2 linked regions of the Notamacropus eugenii genome follow. The protein of the gene in region 2 interacts with the protein of the main gene of each other region in a pairwise test. Links are inferred from orthologs where the notes say so. Each region holds a gene or a part of one and is shown on either strand. Other genes may lie near its edges.

Region 1 (7,932 bases), on a different chromosome or scaffold from region 2:
ATCCAGATTGGGTGAATCTTTGATTGCAAGCATCGATCTACCTAACCAAAGTTTTAAAACAAGGTACTAGGAAATGGCAAAATGTGATTATTTTGAGTTTCATCTCTATTATATCTTAAATTTTTCAGTCTTTGGCTAATAAGCAGTGAGATGACTAAAAAATAAGAAAATACAGTTGAAAGGTAAAGCAAAGAAGTCTGGGTAATTTACAAACTGAATAATACAGGACAACCCACACTCACTGCTAGTGCAATAATCACTCTGGATTACCCTCAGCAGACTGTGCACACTGAACCTTCTGCCCTGAATATGGAATTTCCTAGTTCCTTTCTAAGCATTCACCATATCTCAGTGTACTTTAAATACATGCTATTTGTATAAATAATGGTTGGAAGGGAATAGTGAATAGAGGCTAACTTCTAAAAGGGGGTAAGGATCATATCTGTAAGTACAAATATTTACCAGTAAGGAAACAGGGAGTATACAGAAAAAGCAGGCTGTGAGCACTCAAAGAATTTGTAAATCCAGGTCCAACAAGAGACGATGAAAGAATTCTGAGAACGTAAAGAGTTTGTGCCAAAATCACAAGTAGCTAGTACCACACAGAGTTTATATTTTCTTAGCTTTAAACCCTATGTATATGGTATCCATATAAGATGAAAATTAAAATACAATTTAATACATTTTGTTTAAAAATTTTTTTCTTAAATAAACCAGAGTGGTCTTTTTGCTACTTTCACCCTTGGGTTCTTGGTTAGTTTTCGTGTATTCAATGCTGTTAAAACAAACCTAATTTAAAAAAAATTATTGATATCTTTTGCTTTTGTATCCTAATCATTTCTGGATATACTACCCTCTGTTCTCCCATCCTGGAATCCTCCCTTACAAGAAAATAACGGAAAAACAATTTGAGCAAAAACAACTGATCCAATGACCTTAGTCAAAAATATATTTGACATTCTACTTCAGTAGTTCTCCACTTCTCCTCTGAGAGGAGGTAGGTACATTTTTTAATCTATTCTCCAGGACTCTTGTCACTTTTTAATTACTTAGAGTCTTTCCCTTTAGTGATCTTGTATTTTACATTGTTGTAGTTGTAAAATCATAGATATAAACAGATAAGGGATCTCAGGGGCCCCCTATTCCAACTTCCTGGTTTTATAGATATGGAACCTGAGGACCATCCCAAGGTCACTTGAATAGTAAACATCAGGGAGGTATTTAAACCCCAGTTCTCTTAACTCCAAAGCCAGTGCTGATTCATTGTACCGCAGAATTGTAGCTATGACTGCGGTTCTCCTTATTTCACTCACTCTGGCTCATACAAATTTTTCTATATTTGTATTAATTTCTCACATTCATCTCTTCTTATTGAATAATAATATTCCTTTACTCTCATATAATAGAGTTTGTTTGTACTTCCTTTCCATCTACCTGCTTTGTTGTCAGATTTTTGTTTTTGTTTTTGCCATAATAGAAGGTGTTGTTATGAATATAGTTCTTTGTTTTTCTCTTACTTCTTGAAGGAATAGTTGGATTGAATTCTGTTGAATGTTTAACACCTGAGTAATGTGAAATTTTAGCAACTCTTAGGAACTGAGGTATTGGGAATCTAAGTTGAAAGCAAGAATTTGTTAAGAATATTATAACATTTGGAAATCAGAAGACATTTACCGCCACAGAAGCAGGTTGAGGCCATTTTGTTTCTGATACCTAACAGGTACAATCTGATGGAATCACAGAATCTAGGGCACGAAAGGCCAGCAGGTCCATTATATGTAAATATTTTGATGGGTCTGTGACCTCATCAGATTGGACATTACTTCACCCAGCACTGATTACAATCCCTCCACACCTTTTTCCAACAGGTGTGATTTTTGATTAAGTCCTTTGTAAATCCTACCCAAAGAGCCCCTGGGTGTCCTAGAGGCCTTCATTTCCCATTGAGCTGTCCTATCAGAATATAAGTTCCTTGAGCATGAGAACTCTCACTTTTATATTTATATCACCAGTATTTAGCACTGCCCAACATAGCCTAAAAATCTGTCAATGTGTTTTACATTTATTCATTCACTCATTCATTCATGACTTTTTCCATATCTTAACGGTGCCAATGTAGGACCGTATTATTCGTTTCTTGTTTTTCATCCTTGTCACATGATCAACCCAACTTCTTTTCTGATACCACATGGGCTTTACTAACTCATTTCTCCTTTACGGGGAACATGTTGCAAACACTTACACCCATAACATATCTTTCCATTGCTCTTTGAGGCACCTATCGTCTTGATTCTTCACAGACCATGGTTTTCAATAATGTGCTAAAATATTGCCTACTTGAAAATAATTTGCATTTAAAAAGATATGCTTTTGCAACAAGAAATAACTTGGTGTCACTGAAAGCATCATTCAGTTCCCCAAATACAAACTGGCTTGATATCCTTCTCAGTTCTGGTTTCTGTTATTGTCTGTTTTCAATACCCACCCAGGATTAGAATAATCATAGACTAACTCTGAACTTGTTAGTTCAACAATGTGTTCTAAGTATCTTGGCATGATGGAAAGGGTTCTGAAGTTGGAGTTGAAAAAATCTTGGTTCAAATCTGTCTCCTCTCCTCTGACGCTACCACCACTCTCTAGTTCAGGCCTTCATCAACTCACACCTTGATTATTGCCATAGCCTGTCTGCTTCAAATCTTTCCCCACTTCAAGCCATCTTCCATTCAGTTCCTAAAGTGATGTTCCTAAAGTACAAGTCTGATCTACTTAGTAAACTCTAGTGGCTTCCTTTTGCCTCTAGGAGCAAATACAAGCACTCTTTTTGGCATTCAAAGCTCTTCATAACGTAGCCCCTCCTGTCTTTCTAGTCTTTTTACACCTTATACCCCAACATGTGGGGCAGCTAGGTGATACAGTAGATAGAGCACCAGTGCAAGAGTCAGGAGGACCTGAGTTCAAATCTCACCTCAGACACTTGATACTCACTAGCTGTATGACCTTGGGCAAGTCCCTTAACCCCCCTAATTGCCTCATCCTGGGTCATCTCCAGTCATCCTGATGAATATCTGGTCACTGGACTCAGATGGCTCTGGAGGAGAAGCAGGGCTGGTGACCTTGTACAGCTCTCCCTTACGCAAAAAAAACCAAAATCAAGTGCAAGTCATGTCATCGTTTCTCTGATGGCGTGGTCTTCTTTGGCAATGAAGGACGAACACACAGCTTTCAACCCCTTACCAATTTGGTGACCTTGGAAGATCCACCTTTCTGGGGTTCAGTTTTTTCATCCATAAAAGTGCTAAAGGGTTGGATGCTTTCTAAGGTCTGTCCTAGCACTAAATCTATGATCTTATGATATTAGGAATGGGTTTTTTCCTCCATGCCTACTGTGTTTGTAGTATGGATGATTAAGCTAGTCTTTTTGGAAAATTATAAATTTCACTGAGGAGGCTTTGTGGTGTGTCTGGGTTCAGTGAAATTAGCACCATGCTATTTACTAACAGTAACATTTGGAGAGTTCAGATCTGGCCTTAGACACTTACTAACTGTGTGACCCTTACTAAGTCACTTACCCGATTTGCCTCAGTGCCCACCTGTAAAATGAGTTAGAGAAGGAAATGACAAATCACTACAGTATCTTTGCCAAAATAACTCCAACTGAAGTCATAGGACATGACTGAAATGACTAAACAAGGAAAGCATTTGGAGAATCTTGTCATCAATAGGGAATCGTTAGTACAGGGAATTGTTAGTATTTTTGAACAAGCTGTCAAAATACATTGAGTTGAGTCTTTTTCTGAGTACTGATTAGTTATTTTTTTCATGTGGGAAAATCCATGTGAAAAAACTCCTTCAGTTAATGCAGACTAACAATTTAGAATCTTACAGAGTTGTATTAGGAACTGAGAAGTTCAATATCTTTCCATATGTCACTTAATCAGTGTGTATCAGAGAGAGAGAGAGAGAGAGAGAGAGAGAGAGAGAGAGAGATGCTAAGTCATATTTTTAAAAATCAGCAAATTTGGGGTCGATGTCAGGGAAAATAATCCCTAACAATTAGAGCTGTTCAAAAGTGGAATAGCCTGCCTCTGGAGGCAATAGGTTCCCCTTGGTTGTAGGTCCTCAAGCAGATGCTAGATGATCATTTATAGAGTATATTATAGTGGGGAATCCTTATGGATGACGCTACACAGCTGCTGAGGTCTTTTCCACTCTTAAATTCCATGATTCTGTGATTCTACTCAGCTTACACACAAGTTCACTGGCCTCTTCCCGTGAGGCCTAATTCTCCCTTACTGACACCCTAAACATGCTTTCAAAGAGGGGCTGTCTTATTGGCTTCCACTAGAATGCAGTGGAGCAGGAACCGGAGGCCAGCCGTGTGTACCCTCCCTCCTGATACCATTCAAGGGTATATAGTTCTAGGTGGCAGGTCTGTGAGTTTTTAGAGTTAAGTTGCAGAGCAAGCCGGTTGTACATTAACACAGCCAGCGTGCATATAAGGTTGTAGCTTTATTAAATTGGCTAGTGTTACATATTATATGCTTATGTGTTAAGTAAATAAATACACTTAAGAGAAATCTCAATCCACATAATTATACTACTTTTAACCACGGCACGACACTCGGGGTGATTAGATTTTGTTTTGCTTGCGCCAACGCAAATCCATTGGATGGGGGTGGGGTGGAGGGGAATGGGTTCTCTTTCTAGGGCTTTTCTTTGAAAAACCCAATAAGGGACGAATTCAAGTAACTAAGAGTAATGCCTCTGAAGGACATCTCGGCACCCGGGCACCCTGCGGTTCCCAAGCGAATGTGTTTCAGTATTAAATATTTGTTAACAAACAACCTCCCGGTTGATCTTAGGTTCCAGGTAGAAAGAACAAAGAGATACCAGAGAAGAGGAGGAAGAGGCAGGGCTGGCTAGGACAAGAGATGAGGGCTCTGGGCTCTGGGAGCGAACTCATACTTCCTAGTATTTGGATTGTGGCGCTCCGGCTGGGTTTCGATTAAAAGGAACCAAAAGGAGCTGAAAGAGGGCTAGACACCATTGGGGCACGGACAGGAAAAGCGCCAGTGGCGGGGATGGCACAGTAAAGAGCTGGCGAAGGGAGAAGGCAAGGAGAGGACCTCCGGGCGCATCCCTCCCCGCCCCAGGGTCTCTGGCTCCCCTACATTTCCCGGCACGTGCACAAGCAGCCCGGGGTAGGGTTTTGCGGTGCTGGCCGTGTCCCCCGACGCCGGCCGGCCCCCCTCCGGGGCTGCCTCCCTGCCATCTCTCGGCGGGGGCGGGGGCGGGACCCAGCTAGAAAGGCTCTCTGGCGGCTTTCCAGGTCGGCGCACTAATACGGGCGATGAGGCTGCGAGGCTCCAGCCTGACTGACGCCGGTCGGGGCTGCTGGGGCTGCTGCTGCTGCTGCGGCTGGGGCTGGGGCTGGGGCTGCCGCCGATGCCCCTGCAGCCGCTGCCCCGCCGCTGTCTGTGTCTGCGCCGCCGCCGCCGCCAGGCAGCCCGTCCTCACGCCCGGGGCAGGCGGTGAGAAGCGCTTCGGAGAGGGGGGCACGCGCGGGGCACCCACCGGGAAGGAGGGGGCCGCCAGAAGAGGGTGGGGGTGGGGGAGTGGCATCACCAGGGACAGGTAAGAGACTCCCTCCGTACAAATATCTACAAGTTGTGCGCGGGGCCTCAGCTGCAGTGTCTGTGCGCGCCTGTGTGTTGTGTGGTGTGCGCGCGCGCGTGTTTATGCGTGGGGGAAATCGCTTAAGTTTCCCTAAAGCCAGGAGCATGCTTTGTCATTTTGCGTTGGGGTGGGTGTTGGGGGTGGGGTGGGAAGGAAGGGTGAGGGGCACTGCCCCTTTCCGCGGTGCCTTCTTTCAGACCGGGAGTTACAAACTTCGTTTCTGCCCCGGGGTCTTGGGACCCGCTGCTGTTTCCCCCTGCCCTGCGCATCTGCCCCAATGGCAGCCACCTGGTCCTCACAAGATCTTGGACCTTTAGAGGATGCTCCCCTCGCGGGATCGCTTGTCAGGAATCCGGGGTGGTGGGCGTGGGAGGGTTGGCCAGCCCCTGGCGGGTGGGCGTCCTCTAGGGGAGGGTTGCCTGTGGATGAGGTAGCTAGTGAGCTGGACCCCCAGCTCCTGCCCTGGCCCAGGGTTTGGGCTAAGATGCTCGCTTTCTTTCCCGCCACTGCCCGGGCATCTCGCTGATGCCTGGCACCAGTCACATTGCCGTACCAAACCTGGAGCTAAGTAACCGATTCCTGTGACTGAGCGTAAAGGAAGGGAAAGAGGGAATTTCGGATCGGGAGAGGGGTCGTGGTGCAGTGGGGGTGATTAACTGTAACTCTTTGGCACGATTAAAGAAATCTGCAGGGCAGGTGGGTCACCCCACGTACCGTCCGTTTTGTAGCTTACCTTTGAGACGCTTAAAAGAGGACAAGTGAGGAATGTTTTTCAAGTGTGCCCGAGCTAGCCCTTGGATTCGTTTCACTGGCTGCTGTATTTGTCTTTTCCCTTGCCTTTGCGGTTCCTTGCCAGGTCTCTGTTTGGGGGGAGTGTGTGTGGGGGGGGGAGGTAAGGAGGGAGAACAGATACATGAGACAAACTGACGCCAGTATTGTGATCGAAAGGAGGAGCGCAAGGGAAAACATTTTTATGGATGGCTAATCGCTGACAAGTATTCCCGTTATTATTCTCTCCCCCCACCCCCTTAAGTGGAAATTCAACATGACAGCTTAGAAATACTCCGTTGGTCCGAGTTCTTTTCTTTGCTCAAAATGGGACCCTTGAGAAATAGCCTACAAATGAAATAGATTAAATTTTGGTGTAAAATTGCATTTAAGTCATCCCTTACCCCCCCTAATTCACAAGTTGATGTAAACAGATAGAGCTGGGTGAAGTTCTCTTAATGGACCCGATTGACGGCTCCCATTTTAGTGATTTGCTGTATGTACTTGGATTGTTTTGGGAATGTGGTTTGCCAGGAATAATGATAGATAAAAGTGGAGATAATAATGTCACCTGCGGCAGGTTTGTGCATGTTAACATGGTAGTCCTGTCTTGATTAAGGAGATATCATTGTGAAGGGTAAAATCAGATGTTTACATTTTAAAAATAGATATTCTATATTTAAAATGGAATTAAAAATAAAACCAAAATAAATTGTGGCCCAAAATAGAAAACTTCTCAATGAATGAATTTTCCTATGCTTGAAGAAGTAGGAAACTGGGAACAAGATTTTGAAATATGTTCAAGCTGTGGTTGTCCAAGAAGGCCACTGCAGATAAGAAAATGATGAGATAGTTTATAAATAATGGCCTTCTAAAAATATTCATGACAAATGCATTTTGGTGCTACCAAACAGTTTTAAAATATAATCAAAGAAATGCAGACTTTTAGGAGGAAAACATCTCATCTTTGCTGGAAACACAATGTCTGCACTCAATGGTCATTTTATTAATCTGCTGTGATAGAGAAGCCCCTTTTTGGCTGACTAAGTGAATTTGCCAGATGCGTGAAGATTAGTGCTGATAATGTTTAGAGAACTTCAGTAATTCTTGACATGAATAAACATATTTTAAAGTAATGGTATCATATACTTAACAGAAAATCATTTGTATCTATATAATCTATAGGCAAACAAAATAATTCCAGGTTAATTCTTAAAATGCCAAATAATGATCATTTCTTAGTTGTCCTGTGATGTCATTGGAAGCTAGCTTGGTTTCTTTTCTTTTATTTTATTTTTCTTTGACTTTAAGAATTTCAGACTAACTAAAGATCCCCAAGTATTGAATTCAATAAAAGTCTTTTGGCTAAGATGTTGAGTGAGAACAATGATGTTTGCAAAGCAAGATTCCATTGGAGACTGTTTAAAAAACAACAGAATGATAAGTCAATTTGTTTAATTCAGTCTAGCAGGTGGTCAGTTCAACCAT
Region 2 (7,660 bases):
GATCAAAAAGGTAGAACTAGAGAGGGCAGAGTCACATAAGACAAGGTATAAAACAGCCTTAAAAGTTTCAGAATAGTCAGGTAGAATGAGGAGAAAAGATCATTGTTTGGCAATTAATTGGTAGTGACCTTTAAAAGGGTAATTTCAATAGCGTAGTAGAAACCAAGGCCAAATTACACTAAGTTGAAGAATGTGTAGATGGGGAGACGTAGAGGCAGGGAAGGTAGAATACTCTTTCCAGAAGTATGGCCTTGAGCGGGTACTATATGCTTTAGAGTGGATGAAAGCAAAATAGGAGTTAATCATGCTTGCCTTAATGTTAATATTATACTATTGGGGATGATAACAAGGTGTTAAACTAACTGTAAAAATTCAGACTAAGCCAAGTGATTCCTTTATGAGGTACAAATAAGTACCTGAGTGAATCAGAAGGGAGCAATTATACTGGAGAATTAGGAGTCATACCCCAGGGTGACTCTTAAAAGACATAGTCCAGTTAGTCTGAGGTACTTCAGGCTTTCTGATGGCTGCAGTGGACAGAAAGTTGGGCTTGGAGTCACAAAGATTTGAGTTCAAATCAGGCCCCTGTCTGCCTCAGTTTTCTCAACTGTAAAATGAGGATAATTACAGTACTTACCTTATAGGATTATTGTTGAGGATTAAGTAAGATAATATTTGTAAGTGTTTAGAATTGTGCCTTATACACGCTTAATAATTATTTGTTCCCTTCCCTTTTCCCTTCTTGATAGCAAGATTGCTTGGAGTATAAGGAGTATCAGTACAAAAGCCATGTTAATAATCTGTAAAGATCACATATAGCTAAGGATACTAACTCAACCAGCTCAGGGTTGACTGAGTGTTCATGCCTTTTACTACTAAGAAACCTCACTGGAAGGGTAAGTTCACTCTTATGTCATAAAATTTCCTCTGAGCCCTTGCAGCACACAGGCCACCTTCCATTTCTCCAACGAACCACTGAACCATTCAGGGCAATCTAAATGGATGTCTTCATATACCCTCTCTCTAGGACAAGCAGATTAACCTTCCCAAAGACTACAACTCTAAGGTGGTAATCCTTTATCTCCTTTTCCCCTTGGGCTCCCTAATGGAAGCTCAAAACCTCTCCCCAGAAAAGTCTGTTTACTTTTCTATATTTTAAATATTAAAAGAGAAGAGGAAAAGAGATCTAACATTGAGATGGGTGCTATCTCCTCTGGCTGGTAGCACCTAGTCATAAATACTAGCGAGTTATAAATCCTTACATCCTTTCCCAGAACAGATTGGGAAACCCATCTACACAAGGCCAATAGGAGGAATAAAGGAAGTAAATAGGAGTGGTTGAACAATCTTAACTCAACACTGCTATAACTCTCTATGTTTTCTTTTTCTTCCTAGTTTTGAATAAATTTTAGTTTTAAAGTATGTTTTTCTTCAGTATATATTTTTATAAACTTCAGCTCATTTGAGGATTTTAGCCTTCCAGACTCTAATCATAAGCAGTTACCGCTCTTTAGTAATTTTATTTATGTGTCCCTATCGTTCTAGTTAATTTCTGAGAAAGCAAAAGTGACAGGATCTCTTGAGGAAACAAGGACAGGATTAATTTCCACATCTTCAACACAGTGAAAATTGTCCATCTTTTGGCATACTTTTTCTTGGAACTCAGAAGGAGGAAGCTCTTGGGCCATATAAAGACTTATCTGAAACTGTTTATCCTCCTTCTCAAAGAGGACCATGACATCAGAGAAATGATGACATGATGTGCACTTGACTTTGTTTTAAGTGAGAGAGGGCTTGCAAGGTCACCAGCCTCACTTTCTCCTCCTGAGCCATCTGGATCCAATGACCAGATCTTCCTCAGGATGACTGGAGACAGCCCAGAATGCAATGGGAGACCTTGGCCTTTTAGGCTAAGGCCTTTTCAGTACTCACTTAGAGTGAGGTGATGCTCATTCAGTTGAATAGACCTGTATCTGAAACTACCTTCTTGCATTACACATAGAATCCTTGTCTTTCAGTTCAAAGGCAACTTACATAACAACTCCATGTTCAGTTTAACTTTTACCATAGTGGAAGATTTGAAGAAAGGTCTTCCGTGGTTCCAAGGCCAGCTCTCTAAACATTAATTATTGTTTGTCCTTTGTTCTCAAAGAGGACCATAGTATCAGGAAGGTGATGCCATGACTTGTAAGTGAACTGGATTTAAATGAGGGAGGGCTGTGCAAAGTCACCAGTCTCACTTTCTCCTCAGGATCCAACTAGAACCAGTGGCAAGAAATAATTCAGGATGACTGGTGATGGCCCCAGATGTAGTGGGAAACCTTGGTCTTTTTAAGCTAAGGGGTTTAACGGGTCTCAGTTTGACTGAGGAAATGCCCATCCAGTGAATAAGGCTAGGTAAGAAATGAGACAAAATATGGCCTCTTTTGCCTAATTAAAAAAAAAAATCAATCTGGGAAGGGAAGAACCTCAGGGTTTTTGACCAAAACAGAAACAAATTCTACTTACATTTACTCTGAACCAATCAGGACCCAAATAATGACCACTAAGTGGGGCCTGGGTTAGGACCTACTGTCAGCCAACCAATGAGAACCAGAGTGAATTGGGTTTAAGGTATGGTCATTAAGAAAGAAATCTAGCACCTAAATCCCAAGATATCTTCAGAGGTTTCAAGGATCAAAATTTATATTCCTTTGTGTAGAGTACCCAGAAGTGAGGGTATAATACCCAAAATGGACAGAGGGAAAAGGAAGAAGGGAAAAGAAGGGGAGAGGAAAACAAGAAAGGAGAGGGTAAGAGCTGTCTTGCTCAACTAGAACTGATCAGTTTGGTTCAGTGGGCAGCATGTACTATTCACAGTTTTGTCCTTCATTAGGAAGAGGATCATAGCACCAGGAAGGTGATGCTGTGACTTGCAAGTGAATTGCATTTAAATGAGGGAGGGCTGTTTAAAGTCACATAGAATCTTTTTTTTTTTAATTCAAAGGCAATTTATATAACAGCTCCATATTCAGTTTAACTTTTACAGTGGTGGGAAATTTGAACTCAGGTCTTCCTGGGTCCAAGGCCAGCTTTCTAATATACTAATATCGTAAAACTGAATCACATCTTTGTAAGGAAGAAAATAAATCCAAGAGCTTGGAAACATCCCATTAGACCTCACTTGCTTTGTAATGTAATAAAATAATGATAATAATACTAATCATGATAGCAAACATTTATATACTGCTTACTATTTGCCAGATCCTTTGATAAGTGCTTTACAAGTGGGGCTCAACCAGAGAATGCATTTTGCTGCCTCCAACAATCTTCTTATTTATCTATGCTAGCCAGACTCTAGTGCCTTTTTTGCACTGCTTTCATCATCCTGTTTGATGACCACTGGTCAGGAATGCTGGAATAAGGACTTGGCTGAATAAGATGGCTACTTGTGTCTTTTTCAAACGAAATTCTGTGATTCCATTACAAGTTATAAAATTTGCACAGTCACCTAGCCATGACATGGCACTAAAACATGCATATGTATCTCTGTTCCAGACATGGGATAGATACTATGTAGCTAAGGCAAGTTTGTAACTATTTTCCTCTCAACATGCAAAAACAATACATTTCTAGTCCCAAAGGTTCAGATTTAAATCCTCAGGGACCGGATGAAATGGTATTCAATTTAAAGGTTTTCCCTGAGAAAATATTTTTTGGCAGAAGCCCAGTTCTAAGTATTCTCTTGCAGTATTCAGGGGATGGAGAAAGCAAGAATCAGTGGTTTTCAGGGCAAACTTGCCGGTTGTTTACTCAGTGGAACAATGGTTTACCACCTTCAGAAAGTCCCTGGGGGAGAGGGGATGGTACGAGCTCAGGTTCAAGGCTCCTCTACTCCCAGAAATTCTTCACTCATAAAGTTCAACCCTGGACACCTGCTTCCAGAGGAGTAAATGACCAAAAAACGGTTTCTGCAATCTTCTCCGAATTATAACCACAATGAAATCAAAGCCTTTAAAAGATTCTCAAAATCAGATTCGTTTAATTCGCTAGCCTTTCAAAAATAAACAAGGCTGGGCATCTCAGACCCAGGGGTATTTTTCAAAAATGTGGATGGGGGGCTGGCAAAGGAAATTTGTGGGTTCCTTACAGTAGGTTGGGGGCCTGGCAGCCTTGACCTTAGAAAAGCAGGTTAGCTCTCGTCCAGAAACTCATCAGTCCTCCTTTTCTGATTCTTCCTTCTCCCTCCCCTTTCTCCTTCTCCCTCCTCTTTTTTCCTCTTCCTCCTTCTTTGGTAAAAGGCCCCGGCTGGGGAAGTAACGTTTTCTTGCATTAAAAAGACAGAAAAAAGCTAAGGTCATCCATGAAGGGAAGGAGAAAGTGTCCGGGCTACGGGAGACAAAGAGAGCCGGGGCTGCCGGGCGGACCCTCCCCGTCCTCCTCTCGAGGGGGTCGGCCGAGCCCGGCGAGGGGGCGGCGGTCAAGGTGCTCTCGAAGGCGCAGCCCAGGGTCGGGCGCCGGAGTCCGCGCACGCCCCCCCAAGCCGAGCCAGCCCCCTCCCCGGAGATGCGCGCGCCGACCGTCCGCGCGCTCCCCCCCTCCCCGCCGCCGCACCTTACGTGGGCCCTTCCCGCTCAGGTGAGTCCTTCCCACGCCTCCCATTGGCCCAGGCGCCGCCGGCTCGGGAAGGCCAACGCCGACGGGTCTAGTTCAGGGTCTAGGGTGGGCGCGTCACTTCCGGTAGCGCGGAGCTTGTAAAACACCCAAGAGAGAAGATGGCGGCTGCAGCGGCGGCTTCGGCGGCTCAGCAGCTCTCGGATGAGGAGCTCTTCTCTCAGCTCCGCCGTTACGGCCTGTCTCCCGGCCCGGTGACGGAGAGCACCCGGCCCGTCTACCTGAAGAAGCTGAAGAAGCTCCGCGAGGAGGAGCAGCAGCAGCCGCCGGCGCCGCCGCAGGAGCAGCAGCCGCCGCCGCACCGGACCGGGGCCCGCAGCGCCAAGACGCGGAACAGCAACAACAATAACACGGCGGCCGCGGGGGCGCCGCCGGGGGCGGGGGCGGGGGCGGCCGCCGCCGGCGCGGGGGGCAGGCCGCCGCCGGGCGACCTCTCGTACCTGCGGACCTCGGCGGCGCTCGGCCGCGGCTCGGCCTCGGCCCCCGATAACCCGCCCGGAGCCGCGGCCGCCCCCGCCCTGGCCGGCGCCGGCGGCGGCAGCAAGGTGCTGCTGGGCTTCAGCTCGGACGAGTCGGACGCCGAGGCCAGCCCCCGGGACCAGGCCAGCGGCGGCAGGAAGGAGCGGGCGGCCCTGCAGTCCCGCGGCGGACTCAAGCCCGCGCCCCTGGCCGACGGCGAGGCGGGCCCCGGCCAGCCCGCCGAGAGGAGGAAGCCGCACGCGTGGTGGGGGGCCCGGAGAGCCGCGGCCGGCCCGGACCCCCTGGGGCCGCCGGGGAGAGAGGGCGCGCCGGAGGACGCAGAGGAGGGAGCGGACGGCGGCGGCGAGAGGGAGCCGGAGGGCGAGGAGCTGCGCTGGAGCAGCCGGCCCGTGAACGGCAGCCGGCTCCTCCCCTTCAGCTGCCGGGAGAACTACTCGGACTCGGAGGAGGAGGAGGAGCAGGACAACGTGGCCGTCGCCCGGCCGCTCTTCAGGGACGACTCGCTGCTCCGGTCCCGGCCCAGGCGCGGCCACGGCAAGCCCCCCGCGGGCTCTCGAGGGGAGGCCTCGCACCCCGCGGCGGCCGGCGGCGGCTGCCCGGGAAATGACAGGGCCGCCGGCGGTCTAGACCGGAGGCGAGGTCCGGAGGAGGGAGGGGGAGGCGACCCGCTGGACTGCAGCCCCATTCCCAGATACCGCCTGACCTCCAAGAAACAGCCCCCACTCCTGCCCTCGACCCTCCCCGACGGGGATCTGGCCCTGGATCGCAAAACTAACAACCACATCGGTCGGGGGGGTTTCCACTTGGACCCCTCCAGGGTCTACGCCAACAGCCTCCCGCACAACCCTCTGATGGGCTCAGCCTCCTCCCCCTCGCTCAGGATCAATCACTCCAATCACACGGGCTCCAATCATACCTACCTGAAAAACACCTACAACAAGCATAAGCTTTCAGAACCGGAGGAGGAACTTCTCCAGCAATTTAAACGGGAGGAGGTGTCCACCACGGGTGGCTTCAGTGCCCACTATTTATCCATGTTTCTCTTGACTGCTGCCTGCTTGTTTTTCCTGATACTTGGGCTCACCTACCTCGGCATGAGAGGTACTGGAGTGTCTGAGGACGGGGCACTCAACAGTAAGTATTGGTCAGTGAGTAAGACCTCCCTTTCCCCTGCCCCAGTAACCCATTTTGTAGTGGGGGCATCTTGGGATAATGGAAAGGGAGTTATTGGCCTTGGAGGCAGCCTGGGTGACTTAACTTCTCAGAGCGAGGTACATGTGGGAGGAAGGTGCTGATCTGCCTTGGCTGACAGAATTTCCTTCACCAGGAGTTCCGTGCACCAGTGAAATTCACAGGTCCAGGCCCTAATTCCTAAACATATTGTAATTGTCATTTTACTTTAGGTGACTCTTGGATCAGAAACAAGGTTTGAAGTTGTGAACATCAAGTTGTTTGTCAAACGTTATATTTATCTTACAGCCTGCCATTGGAATGTGTTAACTTGTTTGGGTTTGAAAATTCTTTATCTACAGATTATGCAGGAGGTCCAAAACACCCCAGAAGAAGAGCAGAGTCACCTACACGATATAAGTAGTATATTCAGTGGTATAATGGAAAGAACAATGGATTTGGAGTAAAAAAAAAAAATCTGAGTTTAAATTTAGGTTATGCTTTTTGCTTCCTGTGTGATCCATGGGTGAGTCAGGTAACCTCTCTGACCCTCAGTTTTCTTGTCTCTGAGATGAGAGGTTGGACTCTGACTTTTAAGGACCTTTCCAACTTTAAATCTGCTTTCTGTTTTGAACTGTAATATACCTGCTTTTGGTAGATGGAATTTTAAAAATAATTGGCAAGTGTGTCTTACTTTGTGGAGCATCTTATTTATCCCGAAAACTTCCTCTCAGATTGAGACATCAGTGCTCTTTTAAATGTATTAAACATGAGATTCACTAATATGAAAAATAATACTTTAATGGAGAATAGAAACAGCATACCCACCTATGTGAATTTCTGGAGTTAAGAATGCATCCCCTCCTCACCTGGGATGAGTGCTGTTGATAAATACAGTTACAGTCATTTGCTTTTTATAATGAGATTTTTGGCTCTTACACTAAGCAGTTACTATAGTATGATTTATGCTCATTCTAAGTAGCTCTGAGAGCATAATTTCTGGCTCTTTAGCAGGGTGATTAGTGAGGCTTTTTTGGAGATGTGGTGAATCATTTCCCCTGTACATTGTCCAGAAAAATTACTAGCAAATCTTATATTGGGTTATAGGATCATAAATTTAGAGCTGGAAGGGACCTTGGTGGTTATTAGTCTGCTCCCTCATTTTACAAATTAAGAACTAAGGAAGGCCCAGAAAGGTTCAGGGTTACACAGCCTCTGATTTCCAATCCAGCACTCTTTTTGCATGCTCTGAAAGATTAGTGCTTGACTTAGAAACATTTAGATGTTGTTCCCCAAACTGTCAACAGTAATTGACTTCTGCTGTGGTATTTTGGAAGTCAATTCAACGATTGTAAAC

What was found.
Region 1: the proteins of LEMD3 (region 2) and SMAD9 interact in binary tests that used the Homo sapiens proteins (3 or more experiments, as listed by UniProt). The link is inferred for Notamacropus eugenii from reciprocal best matches to the Homo sapiens genes LEMD3 and SMAD9.

The regions. Positions count from the first base shown.
Region 1 is NC_092876.1:98,422,035-98,429,966, reverse strand, and holds the start of SMAD9 (mothers against decapentaplegic homolog 9), read left to right. Parts: upstream 1-4,917; 5' UTR 4,918-5,201; intron 5,202-5,221; exon of another isoform or gene 5,222-5,531; intron 5,532-5,579; exon of another isoform or gene 5,580-5,634; intron 5,635-7,932. UniProt on the Homo sapiens protein: Transcriptional modulator activated by BMP (bone morphogenetic proteins) type 1 receptor kinase. SMAD9 is a receptor-regulated SMAD (R-SMAD).
Region 2 is NC_092874.1:241,937,938-241,945,597, forward strand, and holds the start of LEMD3 (inner nuclear membrane protein Man1), read left to right. Parts: upstream 1-4,650; 5' UTR 4,651-4,754; coding exon 4,755-6,267; intron 6,268-7,660.